Arabidopsis thaliana: one gene and its partners. The protein of the gene in region 1 interacts with the protein of each later gene in a pairwise test. Each region holds a gene or a part of one and is shown on either strand. Other genes may lie near its edges.

Evidence for each region.
Region 2: the proteins of AHBP-1B (region 1) and AT2G30540 interact in a two-hybrid assay, tested with the Arabidopsis thaliana proteins (2 studies listed by BioGRID).
Region 3: the proteins of AHBP-1B (region 1) and GRX480 interact in binary tests that used the Arabidopsis thaliana proteins (3 or more experiments, as listed by UniProt).

What each region holds. Positions count from the first base shown.
Region 1 is NC_003076.8:2,149,154-2,155,089, forward strand, and holds AHBP-1B (bZIP transcription factor family protein), read left to right. Parts: upstream 1-1,686; 5' UTR 1,687-1,978; exon of another isoform or gene 1,979-1,982; intron 1,983-2,155; exon of another isoform or gene 2,156-2,644; intron 2,645-2,907; 5' UTR 2,908-2,969; exon of another isoform or gene 2,970-2,973; intron 2,974-3,061; 5' UTR 3,062-3,169; coding exon 3,170-3,235; intron 3,236-3,334; coding exon 3,335-3,406; intron 3,407-3,494; coding exon 3,495-3,554; intron 3,555-3,675; coding exon 3,676-3,753; intron 3,754-3,830; coding exon 3,831-3,882; intron 3,883-4,169; coding exon 4,170-4,441; intron 4,442-4,534; coding exon 4,535-4,780; intron 4,781-4,874; coding exon 4,875-5,021; 3' UTR 5,022-5,433; downstream 5,434-5,936. Other genes in the region: AT5G06940 (Leucine-rich repeat receptor-like protein kinase family protein), read right to left, coding at 1-1,618.
Region 2 is NC_003071.7:13,010,589-13,014,040, forward strand, and holds AT2G30540 (Thioredoxin superfamily protein), read right to left. Parts: upstream 1,456-3,452; 5' UTR 980-1,455; coding exon 671-979; 3' UTR 517-670; downstream 1-516. Other genes in the region: AT2G30530 (zinc finger CCCH domain protein), read left to right, coding at 31-279. UniProt on the Arabidopsis thaliana protein: May only reduce GSH-thiol disulfides, but not protein disulfides.
Region 3 is NC_003070.9:10,012,918-10,016,289, reverse strand, and holds GRX480 (Thioredoxin superfamily protein), read left to right. Parts: upstream 1-2,033; 5' UTR 2,034-2,242; coding exon 2,243-2,656; 3' UTR 2,657-2,856; downstream 2,857-3,372. UniProt on the Arabidopsis thaliana protein: Has a glutathione-disulfide oxidoreductase activity in the presence of NADPH and glutathione reductase. Reduces low molecular weight disulfides and proteins.

The DNA of each region.
Region 1 (5,936 bases):
TACCACCTTTTTTATGGAAGTTAGACCGATCAGAGGAGCAAGAATTGGGTAAACCGGGTCCACAAAGCTCAGGATTTCCTTGCAGAAAGGAAGCTGGTAACCCGGAGACCAGAGAGTGAGGTACCTCACCTGATAATCCATTGAATGACACGTTAAAAAGAGCAAGCTTTAGGTTCTGTAAGCCTTGAGGGATCAAACCAGTAAGACTATTATCAGATAGATCAAGATAGGTCAGAACATGTAAATCAGCAAGTGATGGCGGGATTTCTCCGGTGAATGCATTGCCTGCTAGAGACAAAGAGACAAGCTTCTTGCAGTTTTTCAGTTCTGGGATCTTTCCTAAGAGCCTATTGTGAGAGATGTTTACAATACTAAGGACAGGTGAGTCGCAAAAATTCGGCGGTAACTCTCCACTAAACCGGTTTTGTGAAGCAGAAAACTTATACAAGCTCTTAACCAATCCAAGACCATGTGGGATTTCACCAGAAAAGGAATTGTTGACTATCTCAACTTGCTCCAATGCAGAAGCCAAAGACACAGACTCTGGCACTTGACCTGTGAACCGATTATTATCCGCTCTAATAATCTTAATCCTGGGTAATTTCCACAACACAACTGGAAACTCACCAGAAAATCCATTGTTCTGCACTTGAAGCCTCTCCAGACTAAGGCATTCACCAATGGAGTTAGGCAATGACCCTTCAAAGAAATTCGAGTGGAGAGAAAGGTTAATAAGCCTTTTACCACTGCAAATGCCACTAGGGAAAGAGCCAGATAACTTATTCTGTGAGACATCAAGAGACACTAAGTTCTTGAGAGAAGGGCCTAATGATCGAGGAATCTCACCACTCAGGTTGTTCAAACTCAGATCCAAGGTTCTCAAACTTGTCAAACCAACAAACGAAGTAGGAATCTCTCCATGGAACCCTGACCTATGCAACAGAAGCTGTTCAAGCTTGTCTAGCTTCCCAAGAAAAGAAGGAATCTCACTAACCAAATAGCTGTTTTCAGACAAATCAAGAACAACAAGCTCACTTAGCTTCCCAATAGCAGGAGGGACGATACCAGTGAGCAAATTACTTCCCAAGTTGAGAACTTGGAGATTAAACAATAACCCTAAATCTTCTGGAATCATACCTTCGACATGGTTACTGCTAAAGTCAATAACTTTCAAGGAACTAAACTCAGAAATCTGATCAGGGATTGTGCCCCAGATGAGATTAGAGCTGAGATTAAGAGTCTCTAAAGTAACACAACGAGACAACTGAAGTGGGATAGGCTGATTGAAGAAGTTCAAGGAGAGGTCAAGGTGAGTGAGGTAAGGGAGGTCACAAATGGAGTCAGAGATTTCACCAGAAAGATTCAAACTTTGAAGGTTAATGGAAGAGACGTAAAGAGTAGGAGCTCTAGTACATGTGATACCAGTCCAGTTACAATGGTGCGAAGAAGAAGTGTTAAACCAACCTGAAAGAGAGCCTTTTGGATCATCAAAGGAGGCTTTGAATCTGAGAAGGTTACCAAGTTCCTCGTTCTCTGTGAAAGAGAAGGTCTTGGTGAAGAAGAAGAAGAATGTCAAGGCTAGTGAGATTGAAAACTGGTGCTTGAATCTGGTAGCCATTAATGAGTTAAGAATAGAGAATGAAGAGGATCTGCTGAATGAGTGAAGTAGTGAGAGAGTGAGAGTGAGAGTGAGAGTGAGAGTGAGAGTGAATTGAATTTCAGGTGTTGAAAATACGGGGTGGGTTTTGCAATTATAAGATAGTAGGGTTGGTTAATGGTAAAAATAAAGAGTATAGGGTTTAGTTTGAAATTTCCCGTTAAATTTTGGTCGAGGGTCTATGGGGAACTGGTAGATTTGTAGACAAAACGACGTCTCGGAGATTGGAATTTCGGATCGTGTCTCTCTCTGTTTCTTTGTTTCAATCCGATTTCGAATCAAGCCCTTTACTTGTGCACCTTCAAGATTTCGTTTTTCCAGGTCAGTTTCTTCATCAAGCCAACCTTTTTTTCTAGGGTTTTTCTTCCTTTGTTTTTTTTCTGGGAGTTTTCTCCTTCACAGTCCTAAGAAGCTACTTGTTAACTCTGTCTTTTTGCTTTTGAAGTTAAACCTAGTTGACTTTCTCAAGCTTAAAGAGTTCAGCTTTTTTTTTTTTTTAATTGGTGATTTTGTTCTTAATTTTGAGCTACCAAAATCATCGAATTAAATGTTAATCTCTTGAATTCTGTTTCGGTGGTAGTTTCTTGGTTTGAAATCATAGCTGCAGCTTCATGCCGAATTCTCACTGGTTCTAGATTTAGAGTTTAGCTTTTTTTTTTTACTTTACTCGGATATGAATACTGAGTAAGGAATTGAGTCAACTCGGATGTGAATACTGAATAGTTTTTGTTCTAGCTAGAGTTGCAAAACTAAGAGATTCAGCTACTGAAGCTACTTTAGTGTCATTCAAACTGAATTGAAATGATGTGTGTGAGTGTGACTGTACCTAATTTTTCAAACTCAGGCATTTTCGACTGTGCCAACACCTTAAGTCTCACTGATTTTGACTTTGATCCGCGAGCTAAGCTTAAGGTCTGAATGAGTTTCTCAGACTTTGTAGATTGTGCAAGCTACATGTCTGATTGGGTTTGATGAATTGCTTTAAAGGTTGTGTTTTTGATGGGCTATTTTTGTCAGTCTGTTAGCTACAAACAGATTGTTCTTATATATTTGACTTTGTGACTTATGGTAGTCAGCAGAATTTCCCTTAGGACACTTTGAATAAGTAAAGGACTCTTTAGCATTCTTTAGCTGGCTTGTTTAACTGAAACAAACTAGAGAACCTTTTTCTTGACTTTATAGGACATAATTGAAAACTATGTTAGCAAAAGAGATGGTATGTAATGCTGTTTTTTTTTGTGCTCATTCAGCGCAGCCAATGCTCCGGGTGACCAACATTTGTTCCTGATTCATTTCCTATTGATTCGTATTGGTAGGTGTTGATCTTTCTTTTATATTCTATCACCTAATTTTGTTCTTTCTGTCTTTTTTTCTTTTTCTTAATTTCCTTCCGAATCCTGGCAGTCTGTGCACACAAGAGAAATTTCAAGAAGTTGTTACTAAAAGAGAGGCCACAAGTGGATATTGTCTTTGTTATCAAGTGTTAGTACAGAAAAGTGGTGAGAAAGTAATATGGCTGATACCAGTCCGAGAACTGATGTCTCAACAGATGACGACACAGATCATCCTGATCTTGGGGTTAGCTCATAATCTGGCTAGATTTTATCACTTATATTCTTCAAAATAGTGTGATTTTTTATGGACCAAACAAAAATTCTGGTGTTAATTTTAATGCAGTCGGAGGGAGCACTAGTGAATACTGCTGCTTCTGATTCGAGTGACCGATCGAAGGGAAAGATGGATCAAAAGGTGACATGTCCATCTCTGTAGATAAGATCACTGTTTTTATTCAGCCAATTTATAATCTCTTTTTGTTTCCTTATATTTTGATCCATAGACTCTTCGTAGGCTTGCTCAAAACCGTGAGGCAGCAAGGAAAAGCAGATTGAGGAAGAAGGTATATTACCTTCCATTGGTTTTATCTTTTTTTACTTTTTCTTTTCTTTTTAAATTGGTGCATCGCTAGAAGCATAGCTATTTGGTACTACGTTAATTCCTTTTAATTGCTCCCTCCATAGGCTTATGTTCAGCAGCTAGAGAACAGCCGCTTGAAACTAACCCAGCTTGAGCAGGAGCTGCAAAGAGCAAGACAGCAGGTTCAAATTTGTTTCTTATTTCTATTGATTTTTATTTTGTTATTCTGTATACCTAACGGTAAATTTCTTGTTTCTAGGGCGTCTTCATTTCAGGCACAGGAGACCAGGCCCATTCTACTGGTGGAAATGGTTGGTTGCTTATTCTCCATTAGTTTTAATTATGTTTATTTTTTGGCTTCTAATTTGTGTATAAGTTAAGTTCATATATCAACTTCCTGTTGACTTGGTGTAGACTGATCAATTAGTACATCATATCTCATCCCATTACAATACACTGGGTTATCAGAGTCAGTGGCAGACTGACATGGTTCTGATAGCAAAAACTGTTATTCTAATTAGCACTGGTGTAGATTTAGATTTACAAGATGACGAATCTCATGGGTTTGTTTTGATCATGTATAAATTTTTTAATTCAGGTGCTTTGGCGTTTGATGCTGAACATTCACGGTGGTTGGAAGAAAAGAACAAGCAAATGAACGAGCTGAGGTCTGCTCTGAATGCGCATGCAGGTGATTCTGAGCTTCGAATAATAGTCGATGGTGTGATGGCTCACTATGAGGAGCTTTTCAGGATAAAGAGCAATGCAGCTAAGAATGATGTCTTTCACTTGCTATCTGGCATGTGGAAAACACCAGCTGAGAGATGTTTCTTGTGGCTCGGTGGATTTCGTTCATCCGAACTTCTAAAGGTGAGGTCAAATTTCACTTTGTCTTCACCGATTGCATCTGTTTCTACATAGAACATAAAAAGAATGGTCATAGGGAAAAATGTGTTGAAACAGCTTCTGGCGAATCAGTTGGAGCCAATGACAGAGAGACAGTTGATGGGCATAAATAACCTGCAACAGACATCGCAGCAGGCTGAAGATGCTTTGTCTCAAGGGATGGAGAGCTTACAACAGTCACTAGCTGATACTTTATCGAGCGGGACTCTTGGTTCAAGTTCATCAGGGAATGTCGCAAGCTACATGGGTCAGATGGCCATGGCAATGGGAAAGTTAGGTACACTCGAAGGATTTATCCGCCAGGTACAACACTTGTGATGTTTTGAGATGATATCTTAGTTAAGAGTATATATATATATCAATAGGTTAATAATCGTCTCTTGGTTGGTGGTGGCAGGCTGATAATTTGAGACTACAAACATTGCAACAGATGATAAGAGTATTAACAACGAGACAGTCAGCACGTGCTCTACTTGCAATACACGATTACTTCTCACGGCTACGAGCTCTAAGCTCCTTATGGCTTGCTCGACCCAGAGAGTGAAACTGTATTTTGGTCACATGTCAGCTGTACAAAATCCATATGGACACAAAACCAGGAGAGACTATTAATCAACACTTGTCAGATTCTTCTTACCAAATCCATCAACAAATAAGCAAATTTCTGGGAAACAAAAGACTCTTTGTATGTAGGTTTCTTCTACATGGTTGTGGTAATTCATGTTGTTTTAGTTGTAGTCATCAGTTTTTAATTTAGCATTTGAAAAGTTCAATGTTGTTTATATAGCATCTTCGATTATCTTAGAAAGGTTATTGAATTTTGTTTTTTTTTGTTACTTTTGTGTGTGGTAAAGGTGTTTTAACCTTGCAACTTCTGTACTGTAATCATTTAACAATATTAAGATGTTCTATTTGAGTTTTGTAGTTTCATCGCTTGTGTCTTAAATCTTATTTAGTGAGGATTCTAATGTAAACTTCCAAGAGATGATGAAAATGAATTTACATTCAAAGTAAGTGTGATAGATTTTTTTGTAATAAAAAAAGGGACATGTCATTGTCAAAACCAAGAATTATTTTGTTTTTAGAAAAAAGAGAGTGTTGCAATTTTCAGAGGACTTTTTAACCCTCAGCATCTAGAGGTCCACCATCACTTGAGTTTCGTCTTCCATTCCTGTTTTTTTTCAGAGACCGGCAAAATAAAAAAAAAGAAGATCGTACAACTAAAAATACCTCAAAGAAGGAAGATACAAAAGTAGTAACCTTTGTTGGTGATTGATACTATATCTGTTGTGGGTTTTAGACAAAGACCACGTCTTTGCAGTTGTAGATTGGAATTTTCCGGATCTTTCTCTAAATCGCTTTTTCTCCGAGCAACTTTTGTTTGGGGTTAAGCTCAAAGAATCCGTTCTTTTCAGGTGAGTCTCTTCTTCAATAGTCTTAGGGGTTTTAGTTCTTCAGT
Region 2 (3,452 bases), on another chromosome or scaffold:
CTTTGGTTGTGTGTTTTCTCTCATCTATAGGTGCGACTTCAACTGGAAACACTGTTAGCTGAGAAAGCACGGTTGGCTCATGAAAACTCGATATACACCCGCGAAAACCTCTATCTGAGAGGAGTCGTCGAATATCACCAGCTAACAATGCAAGATGTGGTCTACTTTGATGAGAAGACTGAAGAAGTAACGGAGGTATATCCCATTAATGTGTCTTCAATGTCTTCTTCATCAGATAACTCTTACAATCCAAATCCAAGTTTCTTGGAGCTCAAATGAAACACCACAACAACTATCAGTTTCTGCTGTTCTTGTTGTGAATCAGACAAGAAGACAAATCGTTGCCTGTAATTGCTCTGTATTTGTAGAAATATATATACTCTGTACTCTTTATTTGGGGTGGGGTCTTAAGAATTAGCAGTGAATGTTATTTATTACCCTTAATTAACTTAAATAAAAGAAGAATGTTCTATTATTTCCCTGAAACAGTACCATGAAAGCTAAAAGTTGAACTGGTGAGTAGAAATTAGTCAATTATTATTGGATATTACCTGAAATTACAGAACAAACAATATATATATAAAGCTACATTACAAAGGTTGCATAGGCTATAAGATTTGTGTTTCTTATTGAAATACATTTTTGTAGTATAGAAAATTAGAACACCTTTTTAACATAGATTGGCTTGAAACGGCTTAACTAGCGGAACCAGCGAGCCGCTTAAGTGAAGCGACATGACTTCATTGGTCGAACCAATGAGCTTCCCACCCACAAAGATGGCTGGGACCGGCGTGGAACACCCTAACCTCATTAGGGCTTTCTCGATCTCACGACATTCAGGGTCTTTATCGATCTCATGGACTGTTGGGTGAACCCCAAGGTCTTGGAAAAGTACTTGGACCGCATAGGACATGCAACACGAGCTCTTGCTGAAAATAACCACTCCTTTCTCTGACGACATTCTCACAACTTTGTCCATGGTTTCTTGAAGGAGGTCTCGATCAATCTAGGGATTGTTTCTTGGAGAAGAAGAAACAAAATCTTCCTTCTCTTGTGGATTGAAAGAGATTTAGAACTGAAAACGCCTGAGATTAAACCTCGCTTTTGGGGTTCCTGTTTGAAGAAAAGAGGGTTTTGTGTGTGTGTGTGTGTGTGTGTGTGTGTGTACTACAGTATTAAGCTCAGTGTTGCCTGAGACTTGAGTTTCTTGAACCATATGCTATTTATAAGCAAAGAAAGAAAGAAGAAAAGAATGTTAGAGACCAAAAAAAGAGAGATCACAGGAGATCTAGCTAAAGGTTCCCCAAGTACATTAAAGTGACTTTGTTAATATTTTGTTTTCCTCTTTAATTCATATTATATTAGTAAGGAAGGACCAACAAAAGTTGCATAATCACAATTCACCTACCCTTTTTTCCTCCTAGATACCAAAGTGAGCATTTTGAGTTGAACAGGACAATATGTTTCTTTGTTGCAGATGCTAAAGAATATGGTACATCCGCACATGTTTTATATATGTATTTGCAACTTTTTTATGCATGATCGGATTAGAATCTTACAATTTATGTGGACCAAGCTTTTACTTTTTCTCTCGAAGAATATTATTTTGTTCAAGAATCATGCTCAGATGAAGGGTGTGGGTGTGAGATAGCCCAAAGTGGTGGGGAATAAGCAGAGAGATATGCTTATTCTTCTCTTGATTGACGGTATTTTTCGCAGCCACGAAAAAGAGATCAGGCTGGGTTTGATGGATTGGATCGTGTGTGTGTCAACAATTAAAAACCCTATTCTTGAAACATGTCACTATACAACAAGATATGATTGTCTTTGTGAGATTCTCTCAATCTCACTTCTGATCATGAAGGAATAATAACTCCTATCGGTTTCTTACTTTCTCTTGTGTGCCACTTCCCTTTCAACAATTTGCCAAGATTCTTTCCCATTTACCACTTGACTAAAGTAAACCAGTGATTATGAGATCCCATGTCAGTTGAAGTAAGCTTAGACCTAGAGTAATATGTATAGGACATGAATTAATTTACTAACGCCAATTGATTTTGTTTAAAGATTAAGGAACTTATTTGGTCCAAGTAAGATATGTTGTCCTTCATAGAATGAGAACAATTTGAGTTGGACCAAGACAATCATCACCTCGAAAGATAAGGATTAGAGTTAGAAATCCATGAAACTTAACATAGTTACAAACTCAGCATATATTTGGAATTGATCTTCTTGATTCTTATATTAATTATATATATGACCATCTGAATATCTATGTTAACCCCCTCTTCCATTACCACCAAAAAGTGCTTCCCGTAAGATCGGAGACTTGCCCTATATAGAAATATTTGTTTTGGTTTGGTAAAAAGCTTTCTAGGGATTATAATTAATGATTGAAAAAGGGTTAGTAGCTAAGTGAGGTTATATGGTCACTCACACGATGAAACCTTGAAGAAGTGGCCATAAAAGATAATGGCAGGCTGGCGATAATGGCTACTACAAACTCCCTTATAAGCCATGCATGATCATAGATTCATAGTTACTCTTTCTCTCCGATAAATTTATATATTTATGTTTCAAAAGCTAATAATCTTTTAAGCAGTTTTCAGAAGTGAGTTGTTTAGCTTTAAGAATATACAAGAATTTGAATATTTAGAGGGTTCATTTTCGGATATGGTCTAAAGAAATGGGCCGGGTATGCATTGTCTCGACGACTATGACCAAACTGAGAAGAAAATTGAACGTGCAACCTCCTAGCTAAGTGACATACCAATGACTTATAGAAATCTCATATATGTTTAATAAGTCATAACGCAAAAATTATTTCTAACAAAAGCAAATGGGTTGATTTTGGAACTATATTTAATGGCATAGAAAACTTCTTCGAATCAGAAAAGAATATAAAATACGTGTGAGTTAGGATGTCACCATAGAAAATCTCCACAAAAGCGTGAACTCGATTCTATATATATAACATTCAATCATTCTTACTAAAAACATCTATATATATATATTTTAAACAGTATGGATCCATTCATTCTGATCTGTACCAGATTGCAAAAATTAGTAAGATATCACAATTAAATAAATGAAATACAAATTGAGTTATTTTGGATTTTCAGATGAAACCACCAAACAAATACAAGTTGACTTGAATGTTCTCCAACGCTATTTTTTTCTCTATTATATTTTATAACTAATTAATTCATTAAATCACATGTCCAAATATTTAATGATGAAACATAAAGTAAGTAAGCTAGTGACGAGAGAAGGACACCTCATTCTCATTACATAATGTGACGAGATTGAGCTGTCGTTTTGTTGTAAATATATGGTCGGGGGTCAATTATTCATATGCAGTTTTAGGTCATTTATAAAGACCATTAAAAACGTCTTTAATATTTCAACAATCTTATAATTCAATTATTAAGAAGCATCTAGATATGGATTCA
Region 3 (3,372 bases), on another chromosome or scaffold:
CAAATTCTACGATTGCAAAATTAGAGTTCCTAAGTCACAATGATCAAACTCGACAAAACTATTAGATCCAGAGAAATTCCGATTAAATCCTGGCTAATCTAGGGTTAGAATTTTATTCAATAGAACCGGAACGGCTTTATCAATCTATGTGCTTTAAGATCGACACAAACATTGGAGAAAAAGCTTGCGTTTAGAGACGATAACGACAAGGATCAATGCGAAAGGAGAATTGATGTAAGAGGAAAATTGAAGAAGCTTCCTTACCTGTGAAGGAATTAATCGAAAGGTGACGCGACGGAGAACAAACGACGGTGAAGTAAAAGAGATTCCGGCGTGAGATTCGTCTCTCTTACATAGCAAAACGCATCACCTGCGGTTGGCTTTGAGATTCGCTGAAAGTTTATTTTTGGGCTACTGGAGAATCTTATAAAGCCCAATAAGAGACCACAGAGCCCAATAAGTTATTACAAATCTACGACAGTATTAATAAAGACCATTTTCTACGTTACAAAATTTTGATTATTAACTGTTATAGAAAATGGTTATATTGAAACGCATATTTGGCATTTGTTATAGAAGAAAGAAACCACTCTTGCTGAGTTTTTGTTGGTTAAAGCGTGACCTAAGTCTGTCTATTGAGAAGATTCATAGTCCATGAAAAATCCGATGCTACTATAAATGATTGTTTACTAATCCTAGAAACCAAAAACAAATAATTGTTTTCTCAATTCAAAAATTGTATGGTAAAATTTTAGGGTTTACACATTTAAGATTTTAAGTGTTATAGATTTCCGGTGCACAGAAGAATGGTATATATTGTGAGTTTGTGATTAGTTTTGTTATGCAAACTTCTCACGTTAGGCAACTGTAAATATAATATCTCCAACAAAGCGGTCATGCAATTTGTTTTGTTGAAAATTTGTATATTTTACTAGCGGTCATGAATTTTTAAATCCCCCACACTCTATTTTTTAAAATATTTTTAACGTTTTGGGACCATGATGGATGTTGAACTTTCATTTCAGGATTTGGTGGAACGATAAAATTGGAAAGGCTTTGGAGTTTGGAACCTGAAGAACTTATAAAGTTAAAGGATGACACGTGACTTTAATAAAGAAATGCAATTCCCATAATCATATAATAGTCCAAATTTAGGAAGAAATGGGTGACATGAGTTTTAAAGAAGAAAGACGTCATGATTCCATTAAAACAAACCAAATTAGTTGGTGGCTTGGTGCTGACGTCTACCGACTTTTCCACCGTCCATCCTTCGACGATGGTTCTTTCTAAATGACCTTCTCAGTTTTTTCCTGTCATGCGTATTATTATTATTAGTTAATAAGGCTCCACTACTACTCGGAAAGTCCGAGTACAAATAATATGACAATAATGTCAAACTTATTCTTAGTATTGGTTTAAAAGAAGGATTCAACAAGAGTACTTAATCACGTCTCATAATTACCACTTTCATCCAAACATGGTCATTACTATATGACATGATCGTGTTACATTAATTTGGAAAGTAGTATATGTCTTTTTCCTAAAAGTTTATGTTTAGATTTTTGATCACTAAGAATATAATGTCATATATATTATTAACCTTTACACCTAAATGTTATATTAATTACTTGAATGATAAAACGGAAAATATCGAAAGTTTAGGCTAGGTCTCTCTAGCATCTCTAGTGTATTTATTTAGCAATCCCAAAACAAAATTGTGTTTTCTACAATTTTAGTATTAGATTACCAAAATTGTTGTATATAGTCTGGTGATTCCGTTTTGATGGTCGAGATCGAAAGAAGCAAGCATCCACTATGTGGTCGTCACATGCGAATATTTCTAAGTATACAACCATCTATCGAAAGTTTCGAAACAACCCAAATATAATAGTAATAAATTCTGAGAATTCTCCTATTTTTTATTGATATGAAAAAAGCAGTAAAATATTATGTAAAGTAGAGAGGAACCAAAATTAAAACGTGCAGATTTATTAAAAGAATAAAGTGGGATCCAAAAAGTCAGCGTGAAACATGTGATACGATATAACGACACGGTCCTATGACTAAGTCCACTCCAATCCAGTGACGTAAACAGCACCATCACCCATAGCTTCCTGTGACGCACATCCTTACGTAACCATCGTTGACGCTAGACTTTCCTCTCTGATCTCTCTTTCTTCATGTATATATAACAAAACCTTCCTTTCCTAATTGGTATCTATCTTTAAAAACATACTTGAAAATGCAAGGAACGATTTCTTGTGCAAGAAATTATAACATGACGACAACCGTCGGGGAATCTCTGCGGCCGCTATCGCTTAAAACGCAGGGAAACGGCGAGAGAGTTCGGATGGTGGTGGAGGAGAACGCGGTGATTGTGATTGGACGGAGAGGATGTTGCATGTGTCATGTGGTGAGGAGGCTGCTTCTTGGACTTGGAGTGAATCCGGCGGTCCTTGAGATTGATGAGGAGAGGGAAGATGAAGTTTTGAGTGAGTTGGAGAATATTGGAGTTCAAGGCGGCGGAGGTACGGTGAAGTTACCGGCGGTTTATGTAGGAGGGAGGTTGTTTGGAGGGTTAGATAGGGTTATGGCTACTCATATCTCCGGTGAGTTAGTTCCAATTCTTAAGGAAGTTGGGGCTCTGTGGTTGTGATTGTAAATTAATAATTTAAAATTATTTTTTTTTCTTTTAATTAAGAATCTTGATTGGTAATTGTTGTTTACGGTTTATAATTGAATCGTTTCATATATATGTATATAAAGAAATAAATAAAAGAAAAGTCTCAAGTTGAAATTTGCTAGAGATTGTACCCAATAATTTTATAGCATTCATTGTGCTCTGTTTTGATAGTACTCGTTTTTTTTTGTCATCAGATTTTATATAGATTCATTTTTTTTTTTATGGTATTCATGTTTTGATGGTACTCATTGTATCATTCGTTTTAGGCATCTACTCTTCTAAGTGAGATAGAAATTAATGGATCTGTTTGTTTAAAAGATTTATCAACCTTTTGTGAAACGGAAAGAATTTATTACTGTGTTAGACTGTTAGGTGATAGTGATTTAAATGTGACCTTAATGCTCTTGTTTGGGGTACGTGGTAGTTTATCAGATTTGAATATTCACAAATGCCAAAATATGAGAGATCCTTTAGATTGAGGTGAAAAATGTGGGAGGGATGGAAGATATCACTCCAATTGGTATGTTTCCACTATGATGCACAAAGTGGAGACGGCGCGGCAAAAAGTGGAGACCAATGAAACGTTAACCTTTAGAGCTGGAAGCATTTTACTGCTGGCCCGAGCCATAAACGGCAAAGAGCATAGAACCCTCAATTACAGACACCACCCAAGTCACATGCAAGCGGTT